3 linked regions of the Caenorhabditis elegans genome follow. The protein of the gene in region 3 purifies or fractionates together with the protein of the main gene of each other region. This does not show direct contact. Each region holds a gene or a part of one and is shown on either strand. Other genes may lie near its edges.

Region 1 (6,513 bases), on a different chromosome or scaffold from region 3:
AACTCCTCTGGCAATTTCAGTGAGTCTTTGTGGACCATGATAGACTGCGTACATAGCTGACATATTAGCAAGAAGAGCTTGAGCAGTACAAATGTTACTGGTTGCCTTATCACGACGAATGTGTTGCTCACGGGTTTGAAGAGCCAGGCGAAGAGCACGATTTCCATTTGCATCCCTGAAAAAAGAAAAGTTTAAATGTGAAGTCTTGGTGATAGGTTGATCCCAGAAATTGGTTACCACTTACTTAGTAACTCCAATGATTCTTCCTGGAATATTTCTTCCCAATGCATTCTTCGCATCATGCTTAGCGACAGCCATAAATCCAGCGTGTGGTCCTCCATAACCCAATGGAACTCCAAATCGTTGAGCCGATCCAACAGCAATATCTGCACCAAGATCTCCTGGTGATCGGAGAATCGTTAACGAGAGCAAGTCGCACACCATTATCACCAATGACTTATTCTTGTGAGCACTTTCGATCAACTCGTCGAATTGATGAATTCTTCCTTCAGTATTCGGATATTGAACAACTACAGCAGCTACTTTATCATCAAACGCATATCCTTCAATTGAATCAGAAACTTCAATATCTATTCCAAGTGGTCCACTACGAGTTCTGATTACATCAAGATTTTGTGGATGACAGAATGAGTCAACGACAATTTTGTTTCTCTTTGTAGTTCTAGCAGCCAGTGCAACTGCTTCTGCAGAAGCTGTGGCTTCATCCAAAAGAGATGCATTGGTTGTTGGGAGACCAGTCATTTCAGCAATCTTCAAACATAATATATTAGACTCATAGGCATCAAACCATGCCTTACCATAGTCTGGAAGTTTAAAAGAGACTCAAGTCTTCCCTGTGAGATTTCTGCTTGGTATGGAGTATACTGGGAGATCCATCCAATATTTTGAAGGATATTACGAGAAATGACAGCTGGCACAATTGTATCATAATATCCCATTCCAATATAAGATCTATAAATCTTGTTCTGTGCTGCAATTGCTTCCAACTCTTTGAGCATCTTGTATTCGTCAAGTGGTGCTGGAAGCTCTAGAGCCTTCTCTGCTTTGATCATATTTGGCACATTGGTTCCGGTGAGATCATCTAGATCCTGTAATTTCAAGGTTATTATGAGACAGAATTCTCAGGCGTTTCTAACTTCAGAAAATGCATTAAACAAAATAGGAGATACAATGCCAACATCGCAAATTATTTTTGCGGGACATATGGTCCCCGGTCTCGACATGGTCGAAACTTTTTAGCTACCGTATCAAAAAGTATTTAGCAAAGTTTTTCTGAAGTAATTAAAGTTTTGCTCGATTTTAACGTGTTTTCAATCAAAAACCTGAAAATATTCGGATCATTATAAAATTGCGAAATACTCGCGGATACGGTAGAAAAACTTCCGATCGTGACGAGACCGTATGTCAGCGTAAAAAATCGTAAACTTCTGCAGCTGCGTAATAACTGTGTATACCATTAGTAATGGAAAATCAAGCCACGAACTTTGTATCCAATAAAATCGAGCATTTGTTGCTGCTCCAATCGTCTTGGTCCAATATGTCTATCAACAAAAGCATCATATTGAAGGTGTCGTACAATCATCGGACGTCGAAAAGCAACACGCCCGACGGCAAGTAATCCTCGTCCAAGGAGAACCATTTTGGAGATGAGTGAAGGTTCTAGATTCACGAGTAGTAAAATGAAATGAAACAAGAATGTAGAAATGGCAGGCAAAGAGAATTTATTCCGAGAAAAAATATTTAAAATAGTACAAATCGAGAAATATCGTGGGTACACGTGTACTCCAATTGTTGATAAGATAAAAAAAATTCGACTTTTGATTTTATGATATTAAACGCCCGACGCGTGGTTAGATATTATGGGATAATTTCAAACTTTGAACTTCAAAGTTTAAACTTCAAAACTAAATTCAAAGGGGTTTATTACAAAGACGCCAAAAAACCGGTACCGGGTCTCAACGCGACAACTTTTTATTAAATGCAAGAAGGTGTGTGCACCTTTAAGGAGTACTGTAACTTCAAACTCTCATTGATGCGGAATCGATTTTTCCTCTAGATTTATAAAAATTGAAGTGTTTCGGTGTTATTTTAGAGTTTATAAATAAATTGATACAATTTTTTTTTAAGTATTAAAAATTGTCGTGACGAGACCGGCTACCGTATTTTAGGTGCAAAAATCGCGTTTGTTATACTCAAAATTGATATTTAACTACAAAAAAATCTTCTCCTACTGAAACAATGCTACAGAATTGACAAGGTGATAAATGATCATGGTGTTGCCAATTGAATTCTGAATCGATCACCCCACAACGATCGTTATCTCGCTCTCCTCCTCCTTCAGTAAGAGCGCCACTGATAACCGAAACGCCATTGTCTAAGTGTCTTCTTGATTGTATTTCTGCTTTTTATTGCAAACTCTTCTCTTTTTCACAAACCAAATATATTCGACAAACACATAAAACGGGATATATAAGAATAAAACGAAATTGGAAAGTTAGGCCAGATTGGTAGAAATCTAGAAGAAATTTTTAGCAATAAAGAAATTAGACTTAAGGGGAAATGATTTGAGTTGGGTGAAAGTTGGAGACCATTTTTGTGGGGATTGGAAGGAGAAAAAAGAGCACAGGGGAAGTTGAAAGAAGCAATGACTGATATGGTTATTCGGAAGGAGTTGAGCTGGATGCAGATTCTTCGGCAGCTGTAACAGCTGGTTTTTCTTCTTTCACCTCATCTTCTGTTGGCTTGTTTACAATGACAAATCCTTCATCAACTTGATCTTGATCACCTTCTTCTTCTTCCTTTCCATCCTTGATTTTAACAGTTGAAGCGTTCAGATCACAATCCGCTTTCCTCTTCCGACTATTCTCTCCCTTCTCCAATTTCAGCAGGTCGCTCATAATATTGTAGAATATATCCGAATCGGGGATCGTCTCAGTTTTGGTGAATCCGATTTTTAGAAGGAAAATCTGAACACCGCTGATCTCTGGTCCCATTGCGGAAATCTGTAAACAGTAACAATAAAACATATATTCATATAACATTAAAGCTCACTCGAATTCTCTTGTCGACCCGCTCCAAAAGCATATCAGAGAAAATTTTGGAATTTATGATGACACGAAGAGTACCGGAAGATGTTCTTGCCACTGAAAATAATTTTGAATACAATAAACTCTAACTATCAGTATTTACCAATTCGGTGGTGCGTCAGTCCGTTCTCGACTCGTTTGTTGATCCTGAGATTGCAGACACCCTTTTCAGAGTAGGCATTTTTCAATTTATCAAACGCCCAAATTTTGCAAGGAGCCTAAAGACAAATAAATAAAAATTATGTTTTAATGAATACTGCCTCACTTGGAAAATATTAGTATCGTTCTCTTCCCCGGTGGTGATTTCGACTGAACTCGTTCCGGCATGCTGCTTTTCGGCTTCCTTTGCTCTCTCCGCTTCTTGTTCAGCTTCCTTTCTGAAGTTTTTGGCTCCATTTTTCTGAAATTAACATTATGAATAGAAATATTGATTCGAAATATAGATTACATCGTCATCTTTTTTAACTGCATTTTGGAAGAGCTCAGTTGCTGTCATGGTCTTTTCGTCTGAACCACCCGGCTTTGTTGAATCACCTTCTTTGTTCACAACACGATCTGATATTTTGGAGCCAAAAACAAATGCTTGTGGAGCCTCTTCGACTTCCTATAATTAGAAGAAAACGAATTTTTTGACTCATTGTGTTTCAACGAACTTTTTCATTTGCAACAGGCGCATCTGCTGATTTCGGAATAATATCGCCCAGCGATTTCTTTTCCAAATGAACGTGGTTGATTGTTGAATGAGTTGCTGTGTATTCTGTTTTGCCTGCAAATTCACGTGACTTAGATAACATAACACAAAATTGAAAACTTACTATCTGACCACAGTTTATCTGCCTTGGCAGCTAAAGCAGACGGTTTGAAAGCAAAACCTTTTGACATGACTGAAAATAGTAACGAATGAATTAAAAAAGACAAATACCGGATAGAAATTGCAAAAAAAATGCGAAAAATCGATTATTAGTATTCATGCAGACTGAAATGAAGATAATTAGCAAGTAATTTAGACTGAGAACTGAAAAATTACTCAACAAGCAGAAGAAAAATTGAAATTTAAGACAAAAATAAGTGCAAGTTTTTATTTCTTCGATTTTCGTTGTGAACATCATAAAAGTGAAACGAAGAATGCGTCAGCCATCGCGAAAAGCGCCAGTAAGTTGCACTGGCGCACTTCTTGTTTTACTTGTATTCTATTTTTCAGAGCATTTTTTATTTTCTTGCAAAAATAAAAAAAAATACAGTCCAACTTCCGTAATTTTTTCAGATTTAATGATATATTTATTTATTGCTTTACTGTTTCTTCCCGCATTATCCCAAGCAGGGACTGAGGTTTGTTTCATAACTACTTTTATAAAGATATAATTTAATAAATATTTTCAGGCTAACTTCGAAGATACACGATGTCGATGCATTTGTCCGAGTCTTTTAAAATTTCTCGACTTGGCTGAAAATACAACTGAAAAAACAGAAGGATTGAGGAGACGATTTTATACAAAAACTAACATCGAACCGAGCCATTGGTGAGTTTTTTTAATTTTAAATCTGAATTGTTTTAATAGAAAATATAAAATATCAAATCCGAATATGTAAATATCTCCTAGTCACTCTGATATTTTTTGCTAAAAATCCACATCAAAAATAACTTGGCAGAGTTATGAAATTCTCCCACCTTTATGGTATTATTTCGCTCAAAGCAATTGCAAATTTGAATTTCTTTTTTTCATCGAAATTTGAACGTTTCCGACTGTTTTATAAACGTTAAAATTTGAGAAATTTTTGTGGGAACTTTAGTCACAGTTTTAATTTTTTCTCTTTCAGAAAACCACAAATATGATTTAGAAAAACAATTATTTTTATTTTCTATTGCTGAGAATCTACATCGTTGTAAAAATTCGAATAAAAATAAATCATAACCATGAAATCTCGAATTTCTAAGTCTTTATTTTCCTTCCATTTCATCAAAAAAACATGTTGATCAGTTTTAAAACATTTTCAACACTTATTTTTTTAATTTTTTTCAACAGCTCAAATTCATCATTTACACAAATAAACCTTAAATTCGACAAAGAAATATAATTTTTCAAACATTTCAGCAAGCCAAGCAACATTGTGAAAGATCAAGTCAGTAACTTCGTTGACGAGACCCATATGGATGCATTTCTTGCAAATTGCGACTGCCGTTATGAGTCACGAAACACTGTGCTCTTAAAAGTAGTTGTAATATTTGTAATCTGTGTGATCGCTGTTTTAACGGGATACATGGTATTCCTTATGTGCCTGGATCCAATGCTCCGGAAGAAACGATTATCGATCAGTTATCAACAACATAATGATGAAATGGAGGATAATATCTTTGCTGCTGCTCCATCAACTGACGATGAATCATCTTCAGCAAGTAATTCAATGGATACACAAGGAACCACACGTGCGAGAAGTAGTAAGTGCTCCATTTGAAGATTTTATAGTTTTTACTAAAAAAGTATTTTCTTCAGATGTTCTCGGACGCGTCGAGGCCGAACAGAATCGTTGGATGAAGAAGGTCGAGGAGCAACGAAGGAATATCTTCGAAGATCATACAATGCTCAACTAGTTACTTTTCAATCAAAAGGGTTTAAAAATCATTCATAATTTATTAAAACCGTATGATGTATATTTTTGTCAAATACTTTGCCAACAATTTTTCACCTTCATAAACACTTTTCTCATTACCTGTTAAACAATGACAGTTAAATAACGGAGGGGTCAAAGCGAAATAGTGACGTCTGCGTCTCTAATCTCTTTCTTATGTCCCTGACTCGCTGTTTGTTGTGAGCGACCCGCCGCGGCGGAAGAAGTGAGAGAGATGAGGAGATTCTCGGCAAGTGCCCACATTTTCCCTCTTTTCGTTTTCTTTTTTTTTTCAATTTTCAGATCACCTTGTCGAAAAACAGCGAATAAATTAAAAAAAAAAACCATACACCTGAAAACTTATAAATCTCGTAAAATTATGACTCAAAAATTAGCCAAAGAACATTCTACAGTTTGAAGGGCATTTTTCGGAATTAGCATAATGTCGTTGTTTCTGGTCTCCGATGAGTAACCCTGAAGTTACGAAACTATTTTTCCACTTAGAAATCAGTTCGAATATGCTCAACGTATTTTATTTTACACTTTCCTGTGTTTAAAGGAGAGCGCATTAGTGCATAATGGTCTCGGAATCGAATCAAGTTGAAACATTTTGCGTGCGCGCATTTAAGATTACTGTAGAGATATTGATTATTTTCTTTGATTTTTTCATTTTCTTTATGTTCAGCATTTATTGTGTCTGATATGCAAACACAAATCGAATATATTAAATGCAAAACAATTGGGAAAAAAAAGTAAAAATCAATTTAAATGTAAGGAAGAAATCTCTACAGTAATCTTA
Region 2 (7,349 bases), on a different chromosome or scaffold from region 3:
CAGAAATTTTTCTAAGAAAATGAAAAACGAAAATTTTTAGTTATTCGGTTTGGCTCAAAACCCGGAAAAATGGATCTATCCACCTCATTGAAAAGTTATAAAAAGAATATTAGCAACATAACTTAGCATACGTCATATTGAGTTATTCTTTTATGAATACGGAGCCATCAGTGGATTAACTTTTTTGTCTCGTGCAACATGAGCTTAGGGATATTGAAATAGATTTAAAAGATCTGTTTTTAGTGATGGATTTGAAAATATAAAAGAAAAAGGACGCTAGAAATTGTATTCTAATCAAGAAATAAAGGAATTCAAAGCAATCAGTACTAATTAGTTGAATGAGAAGACAAAACAATCTTAAATTGGATCTGACATTGAAAGTTTTCATTGCAACAGCAAAAATAAGTGTCGGCTACTGAGGCAAATGACTTTTTTTTATTTTTATTGCCCTACAGCTAGGCGGGTTTCTCTTTTCTCAGTTGTTTACACACACAAATTGAGAAATCAGGTGGTATTAAGTGATGTTTATCTCTATCAATTGAGAGAAAATGAACACAAATTGCAGTGGTACAATGTTTTATAACTCAATTTTGTTTTTTAATAGGAAATTTGAAAAAAATACTAGACTATTTACGTAAAGCTGTAAAAACGCAACATTTTTCAGGAAATCAGTCATCGGAAATTGCGTAGATTTGAAAATGTCTATGTGACGCCAAAGGAAATTCGTAAATATTATTTTTTAAAAGATTGTGGGAACCTAGTGATAAACTGACGGAATTTAGTATTGCAAAATATGAAAAATAGGGCAGAAGACGGCGGGGGGCAGGCATCATAAAAGGAGCTCGTTCGCTTCAAAATAATAATCCGCAAAAATAAGCTATCTACCCTTCTTTTTTATATTATATAGTCATAAAAATTAAATGGAGCGCTAACAAAATGTTAGGATTTCAAAAATGAATCTGTTCTGCTCGTTTTGACCCGTCAAAATTTGAATTTCGGCGCGAAAAGCTGAACTGGAGATTGTGAAGAACGAGGAGACGCAGAATGAGGGAGAGTTGGGTCGGGGAACATCTGGACAGCAGATGGAAATGAAAATGCTTAGAAGCCTTTAGAAGGAATTGCGAGAATATTATATGGATTGAGTTGGGAGCAAGTTGAGGGAAACGAGGCAATTACTGGATTGGAATAAAAAATAAGGACGTATTGGCGAGGGAATTGAATAAAAAAAAATAATTTTGAAATATAATTCTAAAAATACTGACAATCTTAACAAAAATCAAGGAAAAAAGCGATTAGAACAAAGAAATTTGTTTCGAATTCGAAAGCAAAAAAGTTCTACCATAAACCACTTTCGCGTCGAGACCCATTAGAATAATTCCATGTGTACCTTTAAGTGATATTACGGTAAATATTGATTCTTTCGAATGAGAATAGAATTAACTTTCGAAAGAAAGCTTTCCATAATTTTAGGAACCCAATTTCTGTTTGAATTTCCGAATTCTGTTTGAAAAACTGTACACAAAAACATTTATATTTTTTATTCAGCTCTCAAGAACCCAATATAAAGAAAGGAGCGTATTTCAATTCGTTTCGCATTTTGTTTCGTCTTTTAACCGCTTTCGTGTCCCTCAAAATGACCTTTGACGGTCATCCTTCTCTTTTTTTTTCAAATACTCTTTGTCAAAAGAGTCAAAGCCACTTTTTAAGATGAGTAGAAGACGTGGAAGCTAGAGAAAAGAGGAAGGGCATGACAGAGAATAACAAATTTGATTTGAAATCGAGAAAAAATACTTTGAGAGTGAAGAGTTAGCAATATACCAGGCAATTTTCATTAGAAAAGGGAAATATGACTAGAAAAGTGAGGAATAGATTTTTCAGTTTATTGACAGGTTTTTTTTCGAAAGTTCAAAACTCACGGTGAACTGTGGATTTATTGTGTTGAAGCCGTCAATATTTTGCAGATCGCAGAAACTGAAGAAAAAAAAATTATAATTCGAATTTTTCGCATAACTCATTTTCAAGAAAATTAGGGCGATGAAGAAACATAAGAACGAAAAAAAATTCTTAGCAAGAAAAAATGCCTTTCTTTCACACAAGAATGGCTAAAACGGGCGGAGCGTCGTTTCATCTAAGCTCTCTCACTTTTCAACGATTTCTAATGGCGAGTGCTCCGTTTTTGGTTGGTTGGGTGGTCAACAGAGAGGAGCGGCGGCGGCAAAAAAGGAATTGTTCTAAATCTCTCTGCTATGAGAACTCTCTAATTTCTCTCTTTTTTATGCGTTCTTTGACCGAAAACGAGGGAAAAAATGCGCTGAAAAATATTTTCAACTTCACGCAGAGGTCAGAGTGTCTCTTATATTCTCATTCTCCCTCGCCTGAGCCACCCTGACAACAACTAAAAGTTACCGTATTTAAAAAAAAAGGAATTCATTTTCATAAATCTAAAAATTTCAATAATTTTCTACTGATGAAATTGACTGAATCTTAAAAAAACTGACTGTAAAAAAACAACAAAAAAGACGGCAACTAAATGAGAACTACAGGAATACAAAAAAACGGACGAAAATGCATAGAAAAAACAAAAAAAAACAAAAGAGTGCCAGAAACCAGAAAGTGGTTTAAAAACTGGTTTTACGACAATCCTACAGCTACAGAGAAATATGAAAAACAAGAAGGGAAACAATTTTTTCAGCAAAAATTTAGAATTTTCGATCCGACTGTGACATGGCTAATTTGATTAAATGTTCCGTAGATTCATTGCGGTTGGGGAGGGATGAAGCCTGAAAAGTTTAATTTTTTTTTTCTATGTTTCAGTTTAAAAAATTACCATTTCAACAGCTTTTTGTGAATATGAATCAATCAATCTTCGCGTTTTATCCATTCCATCCGAATTTACAACAATTTCCCGTGCTTTTTCAGCATCTCCATCATGCTTGAATTTTCGAAGAAGCATCGTATTGAGCTCAGGATATTGCTCGCAAGCGTATAGTACCGGAGCAGTGGCGAGACCTAAAATATAAAAAATTTGAAAATTATTTTTTCTTCTTTTGCAAAAACTTGAAACTATATTATTCGTTTTCTTCTCAAAAAAACTCGTGGCGAGACCCACTCAGAAAACCATTTAAAATGAAGTGCCAAATTTTTACGAAATATCGGTAATTCCATTCACCTAATTTCAAATCAGCGGCCACAGGTTTTCCCATTTCATCAGCAGTCGCTATAAAATCAAGAAGATCGTCAGCAAGTTGGAAAGCGATTCCCAAATTTCGACCGTACTCGAACGCAATTTCATGAAGCTTCAAATCTGATCCATCTGAAAAAGGCCGATATGTTGCAAAGAAAATTGATGCAAAAACCACCTGCAAGAATAGCAGCAGACCGGCAACTACTGGCGAACAAACTGGCAGTTTTTCGATGAGTTTTTTCTATATAAGCCTTCATTCTGTCTACTGGTGTAGCATCTGTTGGAGTTGTTGACATTTGCATAAATTCACCCTAAAATATTATTTATTAGAAGAAAATTTGAAAATTTATAGCTGTATAAATATTCAAATTTCATTATAAATAAATAAATAAATTGATTAAAACCTACTAAAACCAAATCTTCAATAATCGACGCCATAACTGAAATGATGTTGGGTTTTCCGATGGAGCAAAGAATCTGCGTGGCACGAGCAAGAATGAAATCTCCGACGAGCACTGACTGAAAATGTTTTTTAACATAAATTTAGAAGTTTTTATCCCTAAAAACTTCTTCTAAGTTTACAAGAGAAAAATTTATGCGCAAGAGGTTACTGTAGAGCGACCAAATTTTCGATTTTTCTGTTTGCCAGGTTTTCACAGTTTTTCTCCAAAAAATATAGTTTTAATCAACATTTCTAAAATCTAAAAATAATTTTTTTGCAGAGAAAGCTGCTTTAAAAGCTGAAAATTTTGGAAAATTCAGCAAAAAAAGAATAAATTTGTCGGATTACAGTATCCAATTTGTTTTGAAAATTCTTTATTTTTTATAGATCGTGATATGTTATATTCAAGATTAAAATTTTGTTTTAATTTCAAAAAATCTACCATTTTATTTCCCCAAACAGCATTGACACTAGCTGATCCACGCCTTGTATTCGCCTCATCAATGACGTCATCGTGCACTAGAGACGCTGTATGGATCATTTCGGCTGTAAATTTCTTTATTTCTCTTTTCCGACTATTCATAGTCTTACCAATCATTCCTATTTTGTACTGATTTTGACATACTGATAAATGAGCGGCGATCCCTGATCGTTCTGTTGACAACATTGCCAGGTACTCTTCTCTGCAAAAAAACTTTTTTTCGTTTTTGATCAGTAAACATTTTATTAGTGAACATCAATACGGGCTGCCAAACTCCATTAGACTAACTACTGTTAGAATTGTACTACGACATGTGAAAAGTTAAATTGAAAATTGTTTTGAAAAGTTCATGGTATGTAGTCATTTCAGCACCATAGGAATATTTTAAAATTAGTTTCATTTTCATCAATATGAAGTTATGCCAAAAATAGCAAAATCATTTTCTCCTGTGCACTATCTACGTAAATCAGACTGCTCTTCTTTTTCAGATATAAAAAGTTTTCCATGTAATAAACTTACGAAATTGAACGATTCGCTGCGGAATTACAAGCATTTCCCATAAGAAGCGATACAGTCGGCCGTAACATTTTTCCACCCTGAAATTTTCAATGTCTATGAGTTGGAAAAATATATTTTTAGAAACCTGTTGAAAATAATAATGTGTCATTCGTCCTAAATTCGATGTAACATTCAAGTCTGCTAGATTTTCAACGGCACCCGATTCATCCTGTGGTATTAGTTGTACCATTATATCGTTCTGAAATTTCAGTTTTTTGGTTAAACTTTTATTGAATTTAGTGAATTATAAACCTGCATTTGTCTAACATGTTCCTGCACGAAAGCTGTTGAAGCAACACTATTATCTGATGAGGATGTAGATGTTGATGTGGCTGCCATTGAACATTTTCTGCAATTTTTTTTTGAATTTCGGAAATTTAAAATTTCAAAAGTTGTTACCTGAACTGCCTTGCGACAATATTGATTTTCGGTAGAACACCCATAATTATCTTCTATTCTTGATTCTTTATACCAGTTTTTGTTTCTTTCAGTGCTCAAAAACTAGTTTCACCGGCGGCTCATGTGGGTTTAGGAGGTCTGAAAGTGAATGAAGATAAGTTTTTTGAAAAGTGAATGATGCAAATTGAGGCTTCTGAGAATGCCAAAAGAGTCATTGATAACAGATATAACTGTCCATTCAGGAGAGGAAACAGCTGATAATTGAAATTCGCATTAAAGATGTGATTGACGTGATTAAAAGTAAAAAGGAGTATAGTTATAACCGAGAATTTTGAATAAATTATATTATTATAGCCTAAACACTTTGAAAATGCCAATGAAAATTTTGGAGTAATTTTGAGAGGAACTTTATTTTAATAATATCTCTGATTTTTTTTCAATGTTAGATTGGTAAATAATTTTTTGGATTAGAAAAGAAAATATAGAAACCAGGAACTAGTTTTTATATTTTTTTTATTTGCCAAATTTTGAATTGAATTCAATTTTATATACACTGATTGATTCAAGCAACCAGTGTACTTCTCAAGATTTTACAGTTTTCGACCATTTTCACTAATTATTGCATCAATTGGCATTTATATCACCAATTTATCTCTTATTTATAGTATGTTATCTGAAAACCATACGTCCATTTTTAAATATTGTTAAATACTTTAAATATTAGAGAATCATTATTTTCAACTAGAGATTCACAGAAGTCTCTCCGAATACAGTTTATTCGGAAAAATAAAAATAAATTAGTTGTTGTATAAAGGTGATCAGAAAGATGGAAAATGAATGTAGCCTCCCACTTTTCCCCTTTTCACCGCCGAAGATCGCTTCTCTTTTTCTCTGTGCTCTCTCTTTCTTACGCACTTCGTCCCTATCTCAGTGTTCTTTGAATTCTCTTTTCTCTAGCAAAAAAGAATATATTTTTTATCAAATTTTGTTTCTTTCTCTCTTTGGTTCGAGTTTATCGAGAATAAAGAAGATCGATAGATAATTTTCAAAAGGAACAAATAAAAATATTTGTGAAAAATTTGGTCAATCACCTTTGACAAGTAGATGAATCGGATTGAATCCATTTAACCGCCAAAACAAAAAGGTTATTGAAGAAATAGAAAGAATAAATATATTCATTCGTTTCTGTTAACATTGTTGATTGTTTTTGAATTTAAGATTCAAAAAATTTTTGAAATAAAATTGAATCTAAAAACAAAAAAAAGACAGGGATAGAGACATGGGAAAACGAAGAATAAAACCGCGCATCACAGACAGGAATTGACTAAAACTTTCAGAGAGATGAATAGGAAAGAAATGGATTTTGATTGGCAAAAGAACAACAATCCGATGGAATAACATAGTAATGTATAGTTTTTTGTGGAAATCGGGGATTAAATAGTTGTGTGTGGGGGGACCTCGTAGAAACCAAGAAATAAAACCAAAACCAATGGAAAATTGACCGAATAAAACTGAAAATTAAAAAAAAAGAACACCAGAGAAATGCAAAACAAGGCCATGTTGCAATTGTGATATAAAGCTCTGTTATAAACAAAAATGAAAAATCAAAGAAATTAAAGTTCCGTTTTGTCAAGAATTGTGTATCTCGAAGAAGCAGGCTTCAACTTCTCGAATGTAGACGGTGGTGGCTCAGTGTCCGGTGCTTGATTTCCAGTCTGAAATGTCTTACGAAAATTGTAAATATGGTCTTTGGAAATAAGTACTGCAATTTTTTCAATAAAAATACGGTACCGAATCTCGAAAAGGCAAATTTTTGAAAAATACAAAAGGTGCGCGCCTTTAAAGAGTACTGTAATTTCAAGATTTATTTTTTCTTGAATTTTTTATTGACTTTTCGATCAGAAAAGGAAATTTATTTTAAAAAAAAATCAGATATAACAATAATTTTTTAATAATTTTTTTCAAATCGAGAAAAAAAAAGAAAAATCAATAAAAAACCGCAGCAACTAATTTTAAATTACAGTAATCTTTAAAGGCGCATACCTTTTCACATTTGACAAAAATTTGTCGTTTCGAGACCCGTTTACCGTATTTTTGACGGAAAAAGCACAACATTTCGCGTCTGGGAAAAATATTTAGAAAAAATCATCCCAACCATAATTTTTTTTAAATCTTCTAATAATTCGGAGTTTTTTTTTCAATTTTCAGTTAAAGCTTCATTTATTTTGTTTTTTTTTCATAGAAAATTCCCAATTTGAGGGATTTTCCGTCCTGAAAATCTCATG
Region 3 (8,779 bases):
CTTTACTCTCGTGTTGTTGGTTTTGGGTGAATGATTTTGGATTGCAATAGAAATCACTAAAACGTCGTTTTGGTCGGCGACTTTTGAGGTCACCATGAAGAAATGGGATTATTGCTTTCACAAGTTGTCCCTCCACAACTTAACATCTAGGATTATTAGGATTGTTCTAGATATATTGAGATTTGATTCTAATTATGCCAGTCAAATCTTATTGATGATAGTCCCTCGGTTCAGTTCCATACTCCATATTTAACATTCATGATCCCTACTGCCCCTCAATAGGATCAACACATCTACGTCTCTTCAGTTAGAGCCAGTCTCTCATTGACGGTCAACGGCATTCTCTGCGTATCTTTGTCTACATTGCTCTCTCGTTCCGTTCGTCGAGAATGTTCCTACGGCTGTCTCGGTTTCTCATCGTCCTCTTGGTTTGCAGTTGTGGACAACTCGACATCATTCGTCTCGTTACTCTACATTATTCCTATCTCTCTCTCTCTCTCTATTATTATAAATTTCTCCCGATTCTGACAGTCCACCCGTACATTTGTTTCCGTGCTTGACTTCAAAGCTCAATCACGGCACAATATATGGGTCGCCAGTCATTGTAGTCGGAATTTTTTTCAGTTTTCCAGGAAATTGTAAAGAATAAAATTAAAAATTTTAGAGGTTGACAATATTTTTGAAAAAGAAAACATGTAAATTAAAAAATCACTCAAACAATTTAACGTTGAGATTGAAATATACGTTGAGATTGACTGGTAGATTCTGAGGAAATCGTTTCCATGAAGAATATGAACAATTTGAATAAAACGGCTTCACCGTTGTTATAGAATTTTCGTGTCTTATTTCTCATTGAATTTAAGCGAAAGAAGGAACACATTCGGGATTGTTGTTTTTGTAATATTTTCTCGAATACAAATAGAAAATTTCAAAAGAACGTTATTTAACTTCGGTTTTGAAAAGGCACTGAAAGCTTTTCTTTCCTTTCACAACCGTATGTTTTGGACCACTTCTAATTCTGAAAATTATCAAGCAATGCTTTTTAGAATTATATATCGTTTCCCAAATAGGATAACATTAATCTGCAAACATTTCACTAGTTTACAAAAGCATAGAGATGCATCAAAATTGGTCAGTTATTCGGTTTTTCAGCGACTTTTAACTTTATCACAACCAAATTTGATATCATTTGAGAATAAAAGTTGGGTTGGGTATTTATTTATTTTGAGTTTTATATACAACTTAGAGTTAGTTCAATATTCATTTTGTGATCCAAGACATTATAACTACACTGAAGAGCCTCCATGGCGTAAATTATGTTGTTTTGAAGGACATCATAGAGTGCAGACTCATATTCCGCATACATCCTATTTGACGACCAAATTGTTGATAGAATATTCTAGAATGAGGTTACTGGGCGAATGTATTTCCATATAACTATTCATTTGAAGCTCAAGTCTTTTGTTTCCAATCGGTGTCGTACTGTCAGGTTGATTTGACAAATCGCCATATGTATCTTACTAAATTTGGAATATTTTACATGCTTTTGTTCTATGTAAATTCAAGCAAAACCCTTTATTCTGGAGTGTGAAGTCGAACATTTTCAATTTGCACCATATTTCACATTTGGTCAGTTTTTGGTTTTTTCATTTAATTTTAAAAGGATTTTACAATTTCCATTTTCATATAATCCTCCGTTTGAAGAAAGTTTGAAGAAAGTTGAAGAAAGTTTGAAGAAATATTTCGCATCATCCGTTTCATAAAAACTCAACCGCAGTGAATCTAGAGAAAAGAAGTGTCTGTGTCTCTTAACCACCCGATATGTGCCGTCGTTAGTTGGTTCGTTGCCAATCGCGTCCTAACACCACGGGCAACCAAATGGCCATTATGCGAGTTATTACTAATCGAGGACCCCTCGAAAATTATACGCGCGGAAAGGGGACGGACGAACGTCCGCGCACACTAATACACCCTTCACCCTATCTTCAATGGTGGCACTCATGGTGTACTCGGTTGTGTGCGGGCCTTTCATTCTTATACTCCCAGGTTCGACACCACCGGTGCACTTTTGTGTCACCAACATTTGCCTGCTCACTTGTCCGAAAAGTCCGTCTACCCGTAGCTCCTATCCATGTTACTGGTCAAAAAGTGAACATGGAAGCAGGTACAGGTGCACGGCGAGTAGGGTCATGAAGCTGGGGCTCTGGGAGCAAACAAAATCTTTGCGCGTGGGTGGTTCAGAATTAATTCCTAATATTATTATTGCAATTTTAGTTTTCAATTCTTCATGCAGAACTTCACTTTTCAAACTTCTGACATGCGTTTAGTAATACTTGGAAGAATACATTAATTTTTATAGAAAAGTAGGAATATCACATGCAAATAAAATCATATCACAAATTAAAAATAAATCCCTCAAGTAATATTAAAAAGAAAACTACAAACTAATTATTCACAGAAAAGGCATCACTCAATTAATACTCAATGGTAATTGTTTTGGTAACCAGATATTCATTCAAAGCTTCTTCTCCCATATCTTTTCCGAATCCAGATTGCTTGAATCCACCGAATGGAGCTGCCACATCAGTTTTCTGATAAGTATTAACGAAGACTGTTCCAGCGTGAAGAGCTTCAGCAACACGAAGTGATTTCGACGAGTCACGGGTAAAAACTCCAGCAGCAAGTCCGAATTCTGTGTCATTGGCTCTACGGAGTACATCTTCGATGTCACTGGAAATGAATATCAATTAGTTTTTTCCTAAATACAAAATAATTCTTACTCGTCATCAAAACTGGATACACACATGATTGGTCCGAATGATTCTTCACTTGCAGCAAAGTTTTCATCGTCAATATTCGACAGAATCGTTGGTGGGAAATAGAGTCCTTCTCTTTCTAAACGTTTTCCACCGACTTCAACTTTAGCTCCGCCAGCTACAGCCTTCTCCACATACTCGACTAGCTTATTAAGATGTGCTAAATGATTCTGTGGACCGTGAGCAGTTGATCTATCGAGAGGATCTCCAATTTGATATTGTTTAGCTTCCTCGACAAGCTTCTTCACGAAATCATCATGAATCGATTTTGCAATAAAAACACGCCCAGCAGCAATACAGTTCTCTCCTTTATTGAAGAAAACTGCTCCACACGCTTGTTTCACAGCTTTTTCTAGATCAGCATCTGCGAAAATTATCAGTGGGGATTTGCCTCCAAGTTCCAGGGAAACCTTCTTGATATTCGATTTGGCACAAGATTCCATGACAGTTGCTCCAATTTCAGTGGAACCAGTGAATCCAATCTTTCGAACATCTGGATGAGCAGTAAGACGATTACCAACAAGGGATCCAGATCCAGTTACAATATTGATAACACCTGAAATTTCAATTAATTTAATTTTTGCTGAAAATTTATTCGATATGAAAACAAATTACAATTCACTTGAAAAAAAACTTGCCAGGTGGGATTCCAGCAAGAACAGATAGCTCAGCAAATTTAAGAGCTGTGAGTGGAGTTACTTGAGCTGGTTTGTGAACAACTGTGTTACCCGCAGCAAGGCAAGCAGCCATCTTCCACGATAACATCATTAATGGATAATTCCATGGAGTAATGAGTCCAACAACTCCAATTGGTTCACGAAGTGTCAAACATAGATTCTTATTTGGACGAGCATTAGAAATTGGAATAGTTTTTCCTTGAATCTTATCACACCATCCAGCAAAGTATCTCCACACATCAATAGACATTCCAACGTGAGTCTTTAGAGCCAACGTATATACTGCTCCAGCATCTAGGGACTCTAGTGTTGCGAGCTCTTCTTTGTGTTCTTCCATGAGTTCAGCGAGTTTGTAAAGTCTCTTTCCACGTTCACGGGCAGACATTTGACGCCATTCTCCACGTTCAAAAGCTTTCTTTGCTGCACGAACAGCACGATCGACATCAGCTACAGTAGCCAAAGGAAGTTCACAAATTGGCTTTTCAGTTGCTGGGTTAATTGTTTTAAAAGTGCGTCCATCTGATGAACCAACAAATTTTCCATCAATGAATTGGTCATGTGGGAATTTCAATTCCATATTGTTAACATTCAATACAATTGGATCGTAAGTTACAGAGATTCCACCTTCACCACGAAGATTACGGATCACAATGTCGATGTTTTCACCAAGAGTTGGCCCGGCATAGATCTGTAACACATTTGAATTTTTAGAATACTTTCATAAAAGCTCACTTGTCCTGATTCAAGCTCAGCTCCAGTATTGAACTTGATCTCCTCCACAAGACGAGTAACATCAGCAGAACTTGCACCACTTTCGAAGAAATCAGTGTCACTTGAAACTTGAGTCTTCAGAATTCCGGTCCAAATTTTCTTCAGCTTAGCTACAGTACTCTTTTCTTCGTCGGTTAATACAAGTTCTTGAACTTGATCAGCTCCCTGTCCATATTTAGAAGCTGGGACAGTTTTTGTACCAATCTTCACTGTATCTACAATAACCCATCTACCGTCTGATCCTGGAAGGAGCAATCCACGATCTTCAACTAAAACTTTTCCTCCTGGAACTTCTGAAACGAAAACTTCTACAGCATCATCTGGAAGCTTCTTTGGCTTCCACAACTTTGAACCGAAAAATGAAACTTTTTCTCCGTTCAAAACAGCCCATGCTCCAGGAACTTTGTCATTTCCACGAATAAAATTATGAAGTTGACGCTGAGTCTTCGACCAATCTATTTGAGCCAATTCTGGTTTTGTGGTAATATATGGTTCATAAGATGCTCCCTCTTCTGGCTGTACAATTCTTGGAGCTTTTCCAGTAGCAATGAGTTCTACTGATTCTGCCTAAAAATTTAGATTTAATTATACTCCGAATTGTACAACTCCTAGACTTACAACAGCAGCTACTCCAGCTGGATACAGGAATCTTTTATATAAAGTGTTCAATGTATCATTCTCTTCAACTTTGCATTTCTTTTGCAACAAAATTGGTCCAGTATCAAGACCATCATCAGCCCAGAAGATCGATAATCCAGCTTCCTCATCACCTTCAATAAGAGTCCAATTGATGGCAGAAGCTCCCCTGAAAAATTGAAATTTATAGTAAATTAACATTTTCAGCTGAAAACCTGTGCTTTGGTAGAATACTTGGATGATAGATAATGCTCTTCTTAGCCGGCGCTTCAGTGATTTCTAGTGGGATGAATTGAGTGCAGAATGGCAAAACGTTGAGTTCAGCTCCAAACGATTTGTAAAGTTCAAGCATTTCCGGAAGAGTTTCGAATTTTCCAGTTTCAGGGTTCTTCTTACGCCAACGAGATGGTTTTTGAACTGGGACACCATCTTTGGCAGCCTCGACGGCTGTAAACGAATTGCAAAAATTATAATGTTTTTTAAAAGTGATCACGAGTTGTGGTTCGTAGAGAATTGGGTTCAAAAATCAGACCACAGCAAAAATGAAAGTAGTGTGATAAAACTATTTTTAAACGTACCCAATAGATCTTCTCTTCCATTTTTATCTGGGATAGTGAAGACTACAACAATCTCGTGTCCATTCTTGCGTAACTCCTTGTAAACATCGACACCAAATGCCGACTGACCAATGATTGCAATTTTCATGGCTGAAAATAAATGTACTTGAAAAATAGGAAATGAATATTGAAAAGGAAGTGCGAGCGTACGAGGAAATGAAAATTAATGAACAAAACTAGACTGACCAGCTTTTCTGTCACACCTTTTCACAAGATGAGAAGAAGAAACACGGTTCAAAGGTCTAATTATGAATGTTTGAGATAACTAAATATCGGGGGTTTATTCAGAACATGAATTTCAGTTAGAATTTATGAATTCGTGGAGCCATAACTTTAAATTTAAAAGTATGAAGAAAAACTGTATTTATCAATTCAGTAAATATACTGTGTTTTTTCTTTTTCGAAACGTTCATTTTGCGTGATAAACATAAATTGAACACATAAAATGCAGAAAATTCTTTGAATGCTGTCTTTGTCTATTTCTTTACCCATTTTCTGAATTTTTTGTATCCTATTCATGTTCTTTAGGCTATATAAATGTTTCGAAAACGAGGAAAATGGAGAAAACAAGAAAAGTCGATGAAGCAAAATCTCTACAGTAATCCTAAAGGCGCACACAACATTTTTTGAATTCATTTGCAACGCGTGGCGAGACCATTCCGCATAAATGCGCCCCTCTTTTTTAAATCGTAGGATTTCTGCTAATTTTTTGAAATTCTACCAGTTTTTTTAAATTATAGAAAATAGAATAAGTTTTTGTTTTCAGGTGATTGAAAACCTAAAACCTTTAGAAATAAGCAGTGACAAACAATTGAAAATAAATCCATTTTGCGTTGCGATCGCCAACGAAGAGATGACCGATAAACAACGCGTTCTGTTTCTGTTATCTTCGACTTCTCGCCACTCAGCCGAAATGATGTTATCACGTGGCAATAGGAACATTATTCGATGGGCGATTCTGACCACATCCGAACTGTTTACGACATCAGAAAGCGTTTTTTTTCGCGTGCGGCAAAGATTAGATGCACAGGGAACATGAAGAGGTAAAATTGGTACATTTTTGGAGAATCACGTTTTAAAAGGAATGAAATTGGTTAATTCGATGATTTCTACCTCGTGCAATTTGAAAATTACTCTTTGATGTTGCATTCTTATCGAACATCAAAGAAAAACGAGTCAAAAAGTTCAGAAAATCAGGAAAGAAACAAATTCACCAACTGTCGTCGAAATTTGTTGCTGTTTTGTGAGGCAAAATTGCATGTTCTTGTTTTATTTAAGATCTAGAATTTTCGTAACTCGCCAAAAGTATTTAGTTGTAAAAAATTGTATAAAAATTTAGCGTCGAAAGAAGTTCATAATTGAATGACACTTCCAACAGCAGTGTCATTATACTATACACATGTAAGCTTTTGTGATAACGCAACATCGTTATGTTTAATATTTAACTACAGAAAATCGATAAATACCATTATTTGAGAGAACGAGGAGGCAAGATGATATATACAGAATAACCGCGTTTAAATTCATCTTCAACAAATCGAAGAATGAAAAGTAAATTCACAGAAAACGTTGAGTATTCAGAAATAGTAAAAGGAGTTGACATGGAAACAGAACACATTGAGAGAAAAAAGAGTGATTAGACGACAAAGAAGGTGATTAGGGAAATGAATGTTGTGAGCACAAAGATGATAACCCAGTTGAAGAGACGCTGCTCCCAAGGCTCAAGCATGTAGATTCCAGAGACTAGTAGATATTGAAGATAGACGTGCTCGGCGAACGTTTGCTGGAAATAATTACATTGAGAGGAAGGTTAAAGCAAAAAAAAATCTCAGCAAAAATGAATCAGCATTAAAAAAACACAAAATAGCTGATCACCTTTTCGGTAGAGACTTCAGAGGGTTAAAATTAACTTAACAGAAAATAATGGAATACATTTAAGTCAAATCACTTGATTTTAAATATTAACGACAAATTGTATTTGTATAGTTTATGTTACATAATTTATTAGTATTACAAAATTAAAATTGAGATACAAAATAATTATTTGTTAATTAATATAAAAATTGAATTACCTTTACAGTTTTTGCCTTGTTGAACTGGCTGAAATCCCCATAGTCATTTTCGAATGCTTTTGTTGTGGTGGTGGTTGCTGTAGCCGTCGTAGACATGGTTTAACCTGAAATAAAACAAGAATTGGTGTCAAAAAAGTCGATAACTGCCGCGCAGACAGCAACGGAAACAAAGTATAACATTCGCAGTGATTGCAGATGACACACCGTCAAATGGTGCCATCTATCAGGCGAAAAATGATAAGAAAATGACAAAATTCTACAGTTGCATCGATTACACAGGAAATGCATTGAAAACACGAAAAGTATCCGGAAAAGTTTAAAGTACGACTAAAATCTAGGATCAAAAAATAGTTTTCGATTTGATTACTCGAACTTTCAGCAAATAATAACTCAAAAAGCGCCGAAAACAAACAAAACGTGAAAAGAAAAGGTGCGAAAAATAAACAAAAACTGAAAGCAGCATGTGCGCTCTACCGCACTGCCCTTGAGAATTAATTTAAAATCAGCCTTTTTTGTTTTTTTTTCTGTTAAAAATTAATATGTTCGTTTTTTAAAGTGTTTTTTTTTGTAAAATCCAATCTTCGAAACTTTTTCTGAGTTGCGCGAATCCGGTGGCAATTTATGTGAAGTTTAAGTAGATTGTTCCACGTTGTACTCTCTCCTAGTGTTGTGTCAGCGGCACAGAATATCACATTTTGTTTAAACAGAATGTTGTTCATCAGGTTACAAATTTTTAATCAGATCTGTGTGAAAAGTAAGCAAAACCAAGTAAATTAAAGAAAATATGCCCTATTGATAACTTATCAGACAAATATTTGTGAAATTCGTATAAACAATGAATTCAATTTGTTGTTCTTTTTTTTTTATTCCGTGTCAGAAAAAACATAATTTTTTTATTCTGCAGATGCACCAACCATCAAGACGACGACGACCGCCGAGAGAAGTCGAAAGGCCATCAGCAACTATACGATACGAGCCTGTCGCTGAGCCAGAACCATGGTGCTCATTTTGCTCTTGGGATTTAATCCTAATTCTACTGGTCATGCTGGGTGCTGGATGTTTTATTCTTCTTCATCTATATCTCTACCCAAATCTTGAAAAAGTCGCTCCCTTGCCAAACATTGATCCAGAAAATGTAAGTTAGTGTGAACTTACTATTTGTTATTAGTATTTTCAGGCTCCGTACACCT

The links. The genes of interacting proteins can lie anywhere in the genome.
Region 1: the proteins of alh-3 (region 3) and ran-5 fractionate together in Caenorhabditis elegans (co-fractionation; one large-scale study listed by BioGRID). This does not show direct contact.
Region 2: the proteins of alh-3 (region 3) and coq-1 fractionate together in Caenorhabditis elegans (co-fractionation; one large-scale study listed by BioGRID). This does not show direct contact.

What each region holds. Positions count from the first base shown.
Region 1 is NC_003280.10:6,045,587-6,052,099, reverse strand, and holds ran-5 (RanBD1 domain-containing protein), read right to left. Parts: upstream 3,992-6,513; 5' UTR 3,990-3,991; coding exon 3,923-3,989; intron 3,874-3,922; coding exon 3,761-3,873; intron 3,712-3,760; coding exon 3,556-3,711; intron 3,508-3,555; coding exon 3,373-3,507; intron 3,326-3,372; coding exon 3,211-3,325; intron 3,165-3,210; coding exon 3,073-3,164; intron 3,024-3,072; coding exon 2,679-3,023; 3' UTR 2,414-2,678; downstream 1-2,413. Other genes in the region: gldc-1 (Glycine cleavage system P protein), read right to left, coding at 1-175, 245-771, 819-1,109, 1,505-1,660; R12C12.6 (Transmembrane protein 9), read left to right, coding at 4,233-4,436, 4,488-4,627, 5,201-5,544, 5,600-5,697.
Region 2 is NC_003279.8:5,410,428-5,417,776, forward strand, and holds coq-1 (All trans-polyprenyl-diphosphate synthase PDSS1), read right to left. Parts: upstream 5,203-7,349; 5' UTR 5,109-5,202; coding exon 5,065-5,108; intron 5,015-5,064; coding exon 4,918-5,014; intron 4,865-4,917; coding exon 4,751-4,864; intron 4,704-4,750; coding exon 4,627-4,703; intron 4,310-4,626; coding exon 4,218-4,309; intron 4,173-4,217; coding exon 4,069-4,172; intron 3,704-4,068; coding exon 3,593-3,703; intron 3,496-3,592; coding exon 3,360-3,495; intron 3,314-3,359; coding exon 3,170-3,313; intron 3,010-3,169; coding exon 2,828-3,009; intron 2,781-2,827; coding exon 2,700-2,780; 3' UTR 2,414-2,699; downstream 1-2,413. Other genes in the region: erp-44.1 (Thioredoxin domain-containing protein), read right to left, coding at 6,678-6,779.
Region 3 is NC_003282.8:11,019,431-11,028,209, reverse strand, and holds alh-3 (10-formyltetrahydrofolate dehydrogenase), read right to left. Parts: upstream 5,608-8,779; 5' UTR 5,606-5,607; coding exon 5,479-5,605; intron 5,348-5,478; coding exon 5,116-5,347; intron 5,070-5,115; coding exon 4,883-5,069; intron 4,832-4,882; coding exon 4,226-4,831; intron 4,182-4,225; coding exon 3,455-4,181; intron 3,373-3,454; coding exon 2,781-3,372; intron 2,731-2,780; coding exon 2,475-2,730; 3' UTR 2,340-2,474; downstream 1-2,339. Other genes in the region: F13H10.8 (Small subunit of serine palmitoyltransferase), read right to left, coding at 7,154-7,300, 7,590-7,685; mogs-1 (Mannosyl-oligosaccharide glucosidase), read left to right, coding at 6,540-6,560, 8,494-8,724, 8,767-8,779.